Linked DNA regions of Arabidopsis thaliana. The main gene of each other region encodes a partner of the protein of the gene in region 2 in a complex. Each region holds a gene or a part of one and is shown on either strand. Other genes may lie near its edges. A codon is read from its position in the direction of its gene.

The links. Proteins that work in one complex are often made in the same cells at the same time.
Region 1: the proteins of RAC2 (region 2) and ROPGEF8 are in contact, whole or in part, in a crystal structure (PDB 2WBL), measured with the Arabidopsis thaliana proteins. Residues at the interface, in NP_199409.1 of Arabidopsis thaliana: Phe6 (codon at 1,997), Asp14 (codon at 2,021), Gly15 (codon at 2,024), Ala16 (codon at 2,027), Val17 (codon at 2,030), Pro37 (codon at 2,411), Thr38 (codon at 2,414), Val39 (codon at 2,417), Phe40 (codon at 2,420), Asp41 (codon at 2,423), Asn42 (codon at 2,426), Phe43 (codon at 2,429), Ser44 (codon at 2,432), Ala45 (codon at 2,435), Asn46 (codon at 2,438), Asn55 (codon at 2,465), Trp59 (codon at 2,477), Asp60 (codon at 2,480), Ala62 (codon at 2,486), Gly63 (codon at 2,489), Glu65 (codon at 2,580), Asp66 (codon at 2,583), Tyr67 (codon at 2,586), Asn68 (codon at 2,589), Arg69 (codon at 2,592), Leu70 (codon at 2,595), Arg71 (codon at 2,598), Pro72 (codon at 2,601), Leu73 (codon at 2,604), Arg76 (codon at 2,613); in NP_189105.1 of Arabidopsis thaliana: Lys95 (codon at 2,168), Glu100 (codon at 2,183), Asp101 (codon at 2,186), Met102 (codon at 2,189), Ser103 (codon at 2,192), Lys107 (codon at 2,204), Leu113 (codon at 2,222), Asn117 (codon at 2,234), Ala118 (codon at 2,237), Thr120 (codon at 2,243), Asn121 (codon at 2,246), Leu122 (codon at 2,249), Ala124 (codon at 2,255), Ser125 (codon at 2,355), Glu129 (codon at 2,367), Arg143 (codon at 2,409), Arg217 (codon at 2,793), Asp218 (codon at 2,796), Ser219 (codon at 2,799), Glu220 (codon at 2,802), Lys233 (codon at 2,841), Trp234 (codon at 2,844), Trp235 (codon at 2,847), Gln265 (codon at 2,937), Met269 (codon at 2,949), His325 (codon at 3,199), Leu328 (codon at 3,208), Asp329 (codon at 3,211), Gly383 (codon at 3,373), Leu384 (codon at 3,376).

The regions. Positions count from the first base shown.
Region 1 is NC_003074.8:8,979,868-8,984,604, reverse strand, and holds ROPGEF8 (RHO guanyl-nucleotide exchange factor 8), read left to right. Parts: upstream 1-1,701; 5' UTR 1,702-1,811; coding exon 1,812-2,064; intron 2,065-2,138; coding exon 2,139-2,255; intron 2,256-2,352; coding exon 2,353-2,507; intron 2,508-2,588; coding exon 2,589-2,663; intron 2,664-2,744; coding exon 2,745-3,017; intron 3,018-3,099; coding exon 3,100-3,420; intron 3,421-3,532; coding exon 3,533-3,910; 3' UTR 3,911-4,205; downstream 4,206-4,737. UniProt on the Arabidopsis thaliana protein: Guanine-nucleotide exchange factor (GEF) that acts as an activator of Rop (Rho of plants) GTPases by promoting the exchange of GDP for GTP. Active as homodimer.
Region 2 is NC_003076.8:18,641,780-18,646,504, forward strand, and holds RAC2 (RAC-like 2), read left to right. Parts: upstream 1-1,760; 5' UTR 1,761-1,981; coding exon 1,982-2,080; intron 2,081-2,401; coding exon 2,402-2,489; intron 2,490-2,574; coding exon 2,575-2,684; intron 2,685-2,804; coding exon 2,805-2,868; intron 2,869-3,456; coding exon 3,457-3,521; intron 3,522-3,599; coding exon 3,600-3,665; intron 3,666-3,865; coding exon 3,866-3,979; 3' UTR 3,980-4,197; downstream 4,198-4,725. UniProt on the Arabidopsis thaliana protein: Inactive GDP-bound Rho GTPases reside in the cytosol, are found in a complex with Rho GDP-dissociation inhibitors (Rho GDIs), and are released from the GDI protein in order to translocate to membranes upon activation.

The DNA.
Region 1 (4,737 bases), on a different chromosome or scaffold from region 2:
TACTCTCTAGGACTTCGAGAATTTCTGGAAGAGCTATTGGATGCGCTTGCAAACGATGTAACACACTATTTAAAGATGAGAGCTTTACAAAGAAGCATTGTGGTAAATCTACCAAGGAGTTTCTGGTAACCATGACTTGTGAATATTCTTTTTTGACTGATATTTCACAAACTAGATTCAGTCTCCATAGCATCAAAGACTTTTCATCTATAAAGGAGATAGGTGAAATGGTCTGTCGAGTTCAAATATCTAAGCTAGTCTATCATTGTCACGGCTTATTGTTATTAGTCACCAAGGATTCCTCGAGGCTGGTGGTATGGAACCCATATGTTGGTAAGCTAGTGCAAACCAGATGGATCAAACCCAAAAATAATTATCATGAATCAGATTGGTATGCTATAGGATACGACAACAAGAACAACCACAAAATATAAGGCATGAAATCTATGATTTTAAGTCTAATTCTTCAAGTCTAGTTCGTGGAGGGTTCTTGACATTACTTATAATTCTTATATAACGTTTAAAAAGAGGCGTTTCTTTGAAGAGAAATACTTACTTTGTTGATCGTAAAGGCGACGATTTTTTTTATTTTTTTTATTTTACAACATAGAGATTTGGATCACGTCTGCATCTGCCGTTTGATTCCAATAGTTATGTGATTTCATATTGTGTTAGAGAAGAGTAGCTTGAGGTGTTTTTGGGCAGGTGTTTGGATAGATGTGTGATGGAGACATGGATTACAACTAAGATTGAGCCAAATGCAGTGTCGTGGAGCAAATTCTTTAAAGTTGAAATTCCACTTGTGTTTGGTTGTTACGTACTTTCTATCTGTGTTTGAAGTTTGCAGTTTCTTCATTGATAAAGAGAAAAAGCAGCATTTGTTGTGGTACATATGGTGTCAATCATCTCTTCGAGATATCTTTCGTGGTAAGAGAGAATATGTTCTTCAAAGTAACGGATTTCGGAGAAATGTTCTCTTATGTTCCAAGTTCGGTGCAGATCCAATACTTAAGGTCTAGTACATGCAGGAATCCTACAGCAGGAGGCAAAAGAAAAGGAGGAGATTACTAGTAATTTCTTACATTGCCTTGTTTGTTTATTATTCATGTTATATTGTTTTGAACAAGCCTGGTCAATGGCTTCTTTATTACTTGACAAGATCAAAAACATATTTTGGTGATTTGAAAACTAAACTTGTCATATAAACTTTGATATCTGACAAGTTTTATGTCTTTCTCTGGTGAATTATGTAGCTCTAGTGGTGAAGAAGACATTCCATAGTACATAAACATGGAAATGTAACCAATGAATCAATTGCACAGTGGTTGATTTCAAAGCCAAATAAACCAAAACTTAAGTAAATTCTAAACACTCAAAAGCAGAACAAGAAAAATGCAAGACATAAGGATAGCTAAATACTCTATTTGATGAATGGTAGATCTCCCATAAGAAAGTTGAATCAGTTTGGAGTTTTATTGTCTTTTCCGTACTTCGTGGAACGTCACTTTTATCACAAACCATCAATTTATTTCTAACACAAAAGAGAAGATAACCAATCATGGAAATAGCTAACTTCCTAAATTTTGATTTACTATTTTTATATTTGAAATGCATTTAGTCCTTAAAATCGAAAACAAACGTTTGTTCTTAAGAATTTTGTTTCATTTTCCAAATAAAAGAGGTTTTTTTTTTGTTCTTTTTATGCTTTTAACAAAAATCTTAGAGTTGTATCATCTTTAGATCAACTGGATTTTAAAGGAATAAAGGGCTTTAACTTGCGGGGCAAGAAAACAAGCGAACGTTGTCGTACCATGGTTGCAGCGTTGGAACGAGGACTAAGCGCTTCCAAATCATTCAACTTTAAAAGAATGTTTGATTCATCTTCGACGAAACAACAACAATCTCAAACTATTGTCGTGGAGAACGGAGATTCTCATATTGTCGAATCCAACACGCCTGAAAGCCAAAACTCCGACAGCTTCGTAGAAAGCCCCGTAGAGAGCAGCCTTCCAATGATTTCCCCTCTTACTCGGCCAGGAAAAAGATCTGAGAGACAACAAGCAGGTGTGTATCTTCTTTCCTTTTCCAATAACTTATATCCTTCAAAAAAAACCTAATAATCACATAAAGTATTGCAGATATGGAGATGATGAAAGACAGGTTCGCTAAATTGCTTCTTGGAGAAGATATGTCCGGTGGTGGGAAAGGCGTATCTTCTGCTCTGGCTCTTTCCAATGCCATCACAAATCTTGCTGGTAATCTTCTTTTTATACTTTTTAAGTTTCTTCTTTCGCAAGTAAGTATGAGGGTTTTGGTTTCTAAATCTTGTGTTGGTGGTATGATGATTTGCAGCGTCTATATTCGGAGAACAAACAAAGCTACAACCGATGCCGCAAGATAGACAAGCGAGATGGAAGAAAGAGATTGATTGGTTATTATCCGTGACCGATCACATTGTCGAGTTTGTTCCTTCTCAACAAACAAGCAAAGATGGAGTTTGCACTGAGGTTTGAGTTTCCCAAAGAAAAGAAAATATCATTTTTGCGACCTCTTTAGAATAAGTTACAATGTTAACCATTTTTTTGTAGATTATGGTGACAAGACAAAGAGGTGATCTTCTTATGAACATTCCAGCTCTTCGAAAACTTGACGCCATGCTCATCGTAAGTCTCTCCATTCAATCTGTATTGAATCCGGCTTATATCTAGCGTTTGGTGGATTAATGGTAATGATAACATGTTCAGGATACATTGGACAATTTCAGAGGACACAACGAGTTTTGGTATGTCTCAAGAGATTCAGAAGAAGGGCAGCAAGCAAGGAATGATCGGACAAACGACAAGTGGTGGCTACCACCGGTTAAAGTTCCTCCTGGAGGTTTATCAGAACCATCTCGGAGAATGCTTTACTTCCAAAAAGATTCAGTCACACAAGTTCAAAAAGCTGCAATGGCCATCAATGCTCAAGTCCTCTCAGAAATGGAAATACCTGAGAGCTACATCGACTCTCTCCCAAAGGTAAATCAATGTCACGTTTTTATTCAATTTCTATCTTTTGTTATTCTATGTTTGGCTCTTAAGATTTGATTTTTATTGACAGAACGGAAGAGCCAGCCTCGGGGATTCGATATACAAGAGCATAACAGAGGAATGGTTTGATCCTGAGCAGTTCTTAGCGATGTTGGACATGTCGACAGAGCACAAAGTGTTGGATTTGAAGAACAGAATTGAGGCATCTGTTGTGATTTGGAAGAGGAAGCTTCACACAAAGGACACCAAATCTTCGTGGGGCTCAGCAGTTAGCTTGGAGAAGAGAGAATTGTTCGAAGAGAGAGCAGAAACAATCTTGGTCTTGCTCAAACAAAAATTTCCCGGTCTTCCTCAATCTTCCCTTGACATCTCCAAGATTCAGTTTAACAAGGTAAATCAATCATAATGATAAGCTCTCATATATTGTAGATGCCTTGAATGGCAAGAAACAACTCATTTTTGTTTTGGTTATAAGAAAACTGATCTTTTATCAATGGATACAGGACGTTGGGCAAGCGGTGTTGGAAAGTTACTCTAGGATACTTGAGAGCTTGGCTTACACAGTGATGTCAAGGATAGAAGATGTTCTTTACACAGATACATTGGCACTAAAGCAAACTTTATTGGCTGAAGAAACATCAGATGGTGGGAGAACAACAGAGACGGATTCCGAGTCAGCGGGATCTTCTAACTCGGGAGAAGAAGCCGAGAAGCATGACCCACACTCCAAGACCTTGTTGGATTTTATGGGTTGGAATGATAATAGTTCCAAAGGAGGCGATAAACCTACTAAATCTCCAAACCTTACGCCGAAAAAGCTCTCATACTTGGAGAAGTTAGAGAATTTAAACGGTTTTAGAAGTCCCAAAGATAGGCATTAATCATGAAAATCCTTGTGAGATACTTTTATAGAGAACATAAAAGTGTAGATAGGGAAAAAGGAATGAAAGCAAAGTAGTAAATGAAGTAATCACACCCTCTTCCTTCCTCGGATAGAGAAGTCTTTAGCTTAAGGAGTTTTTAACTCTTAACAAGAAGATAACTATCTCAAATGTACATGTTATAATCTTTAAATGTTCTCTTTGTTTTTCTTGACTTTCAAAAATAGAGGATATTTAATACGTTTAACTATGTGTATCAAATTATCAAACAATATGCGTATGGTCCAAACTCCAAAGGTGCATTTGAAATATATCAAACATATCTAAAAACGTAAAACAAATTGACCACTTAATCTTGGATATAAAGTTAATCGTACGTTTTACAATCTTCAATATTTCAAATCTGATATTACTTTTAAAAATTCATGTGTGTGGAGTATATTTGCAGTATACTTTAAACTTTGTTTCTAATAATTTGTTCATGAAATTCTTTTGAAATTTATTTAAAAAGACTTAGTATACAAATATTTCTAAGATATGTAATTTTGAGTAACCTTTGTTTTTTTTAAGAAATTAATCTTAATTTAATAATACCAAATTGTAAAATCTCCTTTAATCATGATTTACAAAAAGATCAAATAACACAAGATTTTAAGACATAATTTAATTCGAAAAAGGCCACGTAGGCTAGTGAATAGTTATGATCCACATTGCGTGTTAGTTCAATGGACCCATGACAGGCCTTTGGGCCAGGGAAATAAAAGTCGGTTTTCTACAAGAAACAGTATGTAGTTTAAAAGTATCTATATGAAACTGCACGTCGTTTT
Region 2 (4,725 bases):
TATAATCAGCTAGCTCAGTGAATGGTTCAACTCTAATTTTCCTTTTGTTAATCTGATCTATCAAGGAGAAGTCGATGATTGCTCTTACAAGTTACATCTCAAGATGAGATACTTGAGGCTTATTGGGCTCTTCTTCTTTGGATACTTCTAGGTTCAAGTTGAGGCTTTTAGTGGGCTTATTTTGATAAGTTTTTATCTATTATCGACCTGAATTAGCAAACTAGTCAGTTTTCAGAACATATTTAGAAAATTAGTCATTTTACTAGTCACAATTTATAAAAAAGTCACTTTTCACTGTTTGATTTGTACATTTAGATTTGTACAATACTTTTAGTATACATATGTATATAGATATACACAGCGTACACTTACATCTGTATACTAAAAGTGTTGTACAAATTTAAATGTACAAATCAAACAGTGAAAAGTGACTACTTTGCAAATTGTGAATAGTAAAATAACTAGTTTTCTAAATATGTTTGAAAAATTGACTATTTTTTCATTTATCCCATTTTAAAATGTATGAACAGTACAATATTATTAATATTATGCTCTATTTTAAATCAATGGAAAATTTTATATAAAAAATGCATAATGAGGAAGAGACACACAAATTCAATTGTTAGGAAAGAAAGACTTTCACTACATTAGTGCTCCTAAACTTTTGCTCTACGCAGTATAACCTCTAATTTACTGGTAACTTATATTTGAAGTGATTTACGTATGATACTACTTGAAGCACCAAACTGTACTTCTATAAACTCAGGTAACAGTAGCTACGTTATTATAATAATAATAAAAAATGTTATAATAAGGTTTTAAAGAAAGTAAATATCAACATTATATATGGGGACATACATTGATTCAGTTTTTGATAAATAGTGTAATTTGTATTTGAGTTAAAAAATTTGCCTTTATTTATATATTCCCCTCGAAGAAAAACTTTATTTACGTCCCAAAAAAGTATTTTTGGATTCGCCATGAATGTTTGATCATTCATATTTCAGAAAGTATTATAAATCATCGTATATCTGCATGAGAGTTTCATGCATAATACTCTTTAAAAGAAAATTGTTGGATAACGTAAAACAAAAGTGTTGGATGACGTCAAAAAAACTGTGAGGTGACGAAGAAGACAGATGGAAATTGTATTTTTGAACACACTAAAAAAATCGTAATATGTAAGCCAATTCATGTCATTATTGAATGTTGTTAAAATGAATCAAATAAGGCAAAACATAAAATATTGAAGAAAAAGATTTTATAAGAAAATGTAAAAACACTAGAGAAAGTAAGATGAGAGTTCCTTCTCCAACACTTAAAAACCCACTCACAACCAACACCAAACGGCTACATCACTTTCGGTGACCGCATGATCTTGCACTTGAAGTTAAAGAAATACTCAATTCCTAATCATTTTAACTCATTAATTTAATTAAACTAAAAATATCAAACCAATATATGAAAGGCAAAAGGTGAACAATATTTCAGCTTTTTGGTAAAATTTGTTTCGATTCTGCTAAATATCATTTTGCTTTGGACCTGGTTAGAAAAGTCAGATCAAATTTGGAAAGAAATACAAATTAGTGAGTACATGTAATAATAAAATTTAACTATTTTCAATACATGATTTTAATATTTGTATTTATTTAAGAAGATTATAATTCAATTGTTTCAGTGAGGAGTTGTTTGGTTTACTCGGTTTATTATATATGATGATATACAAAACCAGTTCTTTAATTTGGTATTTGTTTCAGTATGTTTGCTTCAAATTTCCTTCCCTTACGAATAAGCAACTAATAATGATCAATGAAAGTTGTAACAGAGACATCCTCCTTACCAATAAACAACTATAATCATCACAAAAGCTTCTTAAGAACCTTCCACCACTTCTCTTCTCTTCTGAACATAAAACCCAAACACATTCACAAAATTCATAAACATAAAAAAATAAAAGAAATTGAAGACAAAAGCAAAGAAAATGAGCACAGCAAGATTCATTAAGTGTGTGACTGTCGGAGATGGAGCAGTGGGAAAGACTTGTATGCTCATTTCATATACCAGCAATACGTTTCCTACGGTAACTTTTAATTTCTTAGCAAACTTGATATATATCCAGATATATTTTCAAATTGATGTTTTAAGATATTTATGTTAGGCTCCTGAGATCTTTGCTCATTTTAAACGTTGTTCATGGCAAATTAATAAGAGCCTAGTTTCATCTTTTGCGTTTATATTTCCATATCCGTTTAAGCATATTTTTCCTAGAATCATTAACGTGAAATATATCTAAAGCTGAATTCAAACCCATGCTTCTGGATTTTTGCTATCTGTTTACTTAAGAAACATGGTTTAATGTATGTTTTTTGATATATAAATGATTTAACTATCTAATTTACAGGATTATGTTCCAACAGTTTTCGACAACTTCAGCGCAAATGTGGTGGTCGACGGGAGTACCGTGAACCTTGGCCTGTGGGATACTGCCGGTACGCCGTATGATTACTTGATTATACTAAAACTGATTATTAATGAATGCTAGTTACGATAAAAGTTATTATTGTGGAATTACAGGTCAGGAAGATTATAATAGGCTTAGGCCTTTGAGTTACAGAGGAGCAGATGTCTTCTTATTAGCATTTTCCCTTATAAGCAAGGCCAGTTACGAGAATATTCACAAAAAGGTAACTTTAAAAGTTTTTCCATCCGTTTTTTTTTATAGATAAGAAACTATGATTATATGATAAAGTATTTCTAGAAAAATTTGTTGACACTGACTGATTAATTAATCTGGTGATTAATAGTGGCTTCCGGAGCTGAAACATTATGCTCCTGGCATCCCCATTGTGCTCGTCGGAACAAAATTAGGTAACGAAAACTTTCCCCTTATGAGTTCATAAAGAAACTTAATTTATCAACATTTGTGTCAAATTAGATATGGTCTTGAGTAATAATCCGCAGATCATACGTTTTTCATTTGCAAAAGAAAGAAAAAAATTCTACAAGAAGCTACTTTTTCGTCAAATAGTAATACACTCTCTTTCACTCTGAATAATATTGAGATATCACTAAATAATATGTTATTTAGAAAATAACACCTATAGTAAATGTATTTTGAAAAATTACCTAATTAATTCAGGCCAGTAAATTATATTATTTGTTCTGTTATGCTACAGTTTTAATGAAAAACATGTGAAAAAAGAATAACATTTTCAAATTCGATAGTTGTATAAAAACAGTTAGATTTTCATCTAATAGCAGAAAAATGTTCAAATGTAGGAAGATATAGCCACTTGGATCGTTAATGGCATCATGAATAGTGGCCCAATTTAACATTTATTCAACAACTTATATTGAAAAAGCTAATACATTTCTCCATTTGATTTATGGTATCTCTTGTGTTATTGATAATATCTTTTTATTCAAAACAATAATGTTACACAAAAATGAATATAGATTTGAGGGATGACAAGCAGTTCTTGAAGGATCATCCAGGAGCAGCTTCTATAACAACTGCTCAGGTACCATACACAAATCTTTAAAAAATAATCTATACAAAAATAAATTCATAAACAATTATGAATGGATTTGAGTAACAGGGAGAAGAATTAAGGAAAATGATTGGAGCTGTTAGGTACTTAGAGTGCAGCTCCAAAACCCAACAGGTACTTAGAGTAAATTCAACATGTATTTAGGTACTTAGAGTGCAGCTCCAAATGTTTTTTTGCCAAAATTTTCATACTAATAATTTGAATCCACAAATATATATATATATATATATATATATATATATAGTAAATTGAAATACTTAATGAAGTTAAATTAAATAAACTGAAAAAGTTTTTTGTTTGTGAATGTTTAATAGAATGTGAAGGCAGTGTTTGATACAGCGATAAGGGTAGCTTTGAGGCCACCAAAGGCAAAGAAAAAGATAAAACCATTGAAGACTAAGAGATCAAGAATATGCTTTTTCCTATAATATCTGAACAGATTTCAATAAATAACAAACATTTATATATACTTGTATTTTGATATTTTTTTGAATATTTTCTACTTGAAATAGTGGACTTTGCTTCATCACGTTATTGGCGAGAGTATTGTCGAATCATGTTACCATTATTCGGGAGAAATTTGTAAAATAGTAGTAATTTGGCAAGAAAATTGAGGATTGATATTTTTTCCCCATAAATTGTGGAATCACGCTTTTTGGTGACAATTTGCGAATTCTAGTTTTTAGCAAAAAAAATTAAAGAGTAATGTTTTTTGATGAAAAAATTATGGATACAAGTTTGAATCAATAATATGAGATTTTCGTCTTTGAAAAATAAAATTTCAAGTTTAAAATTTTGGCTAAAAAAATGTGGATTCAATTTATTGATAAGAAAATTGTATTAATCCTCACTTGAAACTCCTTACACTCTTTCTACATGAGTAAGACATAAACAAATGTGACGTTCATGCTCCAGTTCTTATATATGTCCAATGTATAACCTGAGCAAAATATACTTATGCACTTATAATACCTTAATTACCCGTCTTACTTTGAGGCTGGATCTTGTCCTTTAAGTAATCTATCTTCTGGGAAAAATAGAACTCAAGGGCTCTTACGTTCAATGTTAAAAAATGGTACCATTTCCTTGCAAAAACTCAGCTGTTTCAGAAAAGATTTCAAAAGCTAGCATACCTATACCATAACACACAAAGTTTTATACATTGGGGTAGTCC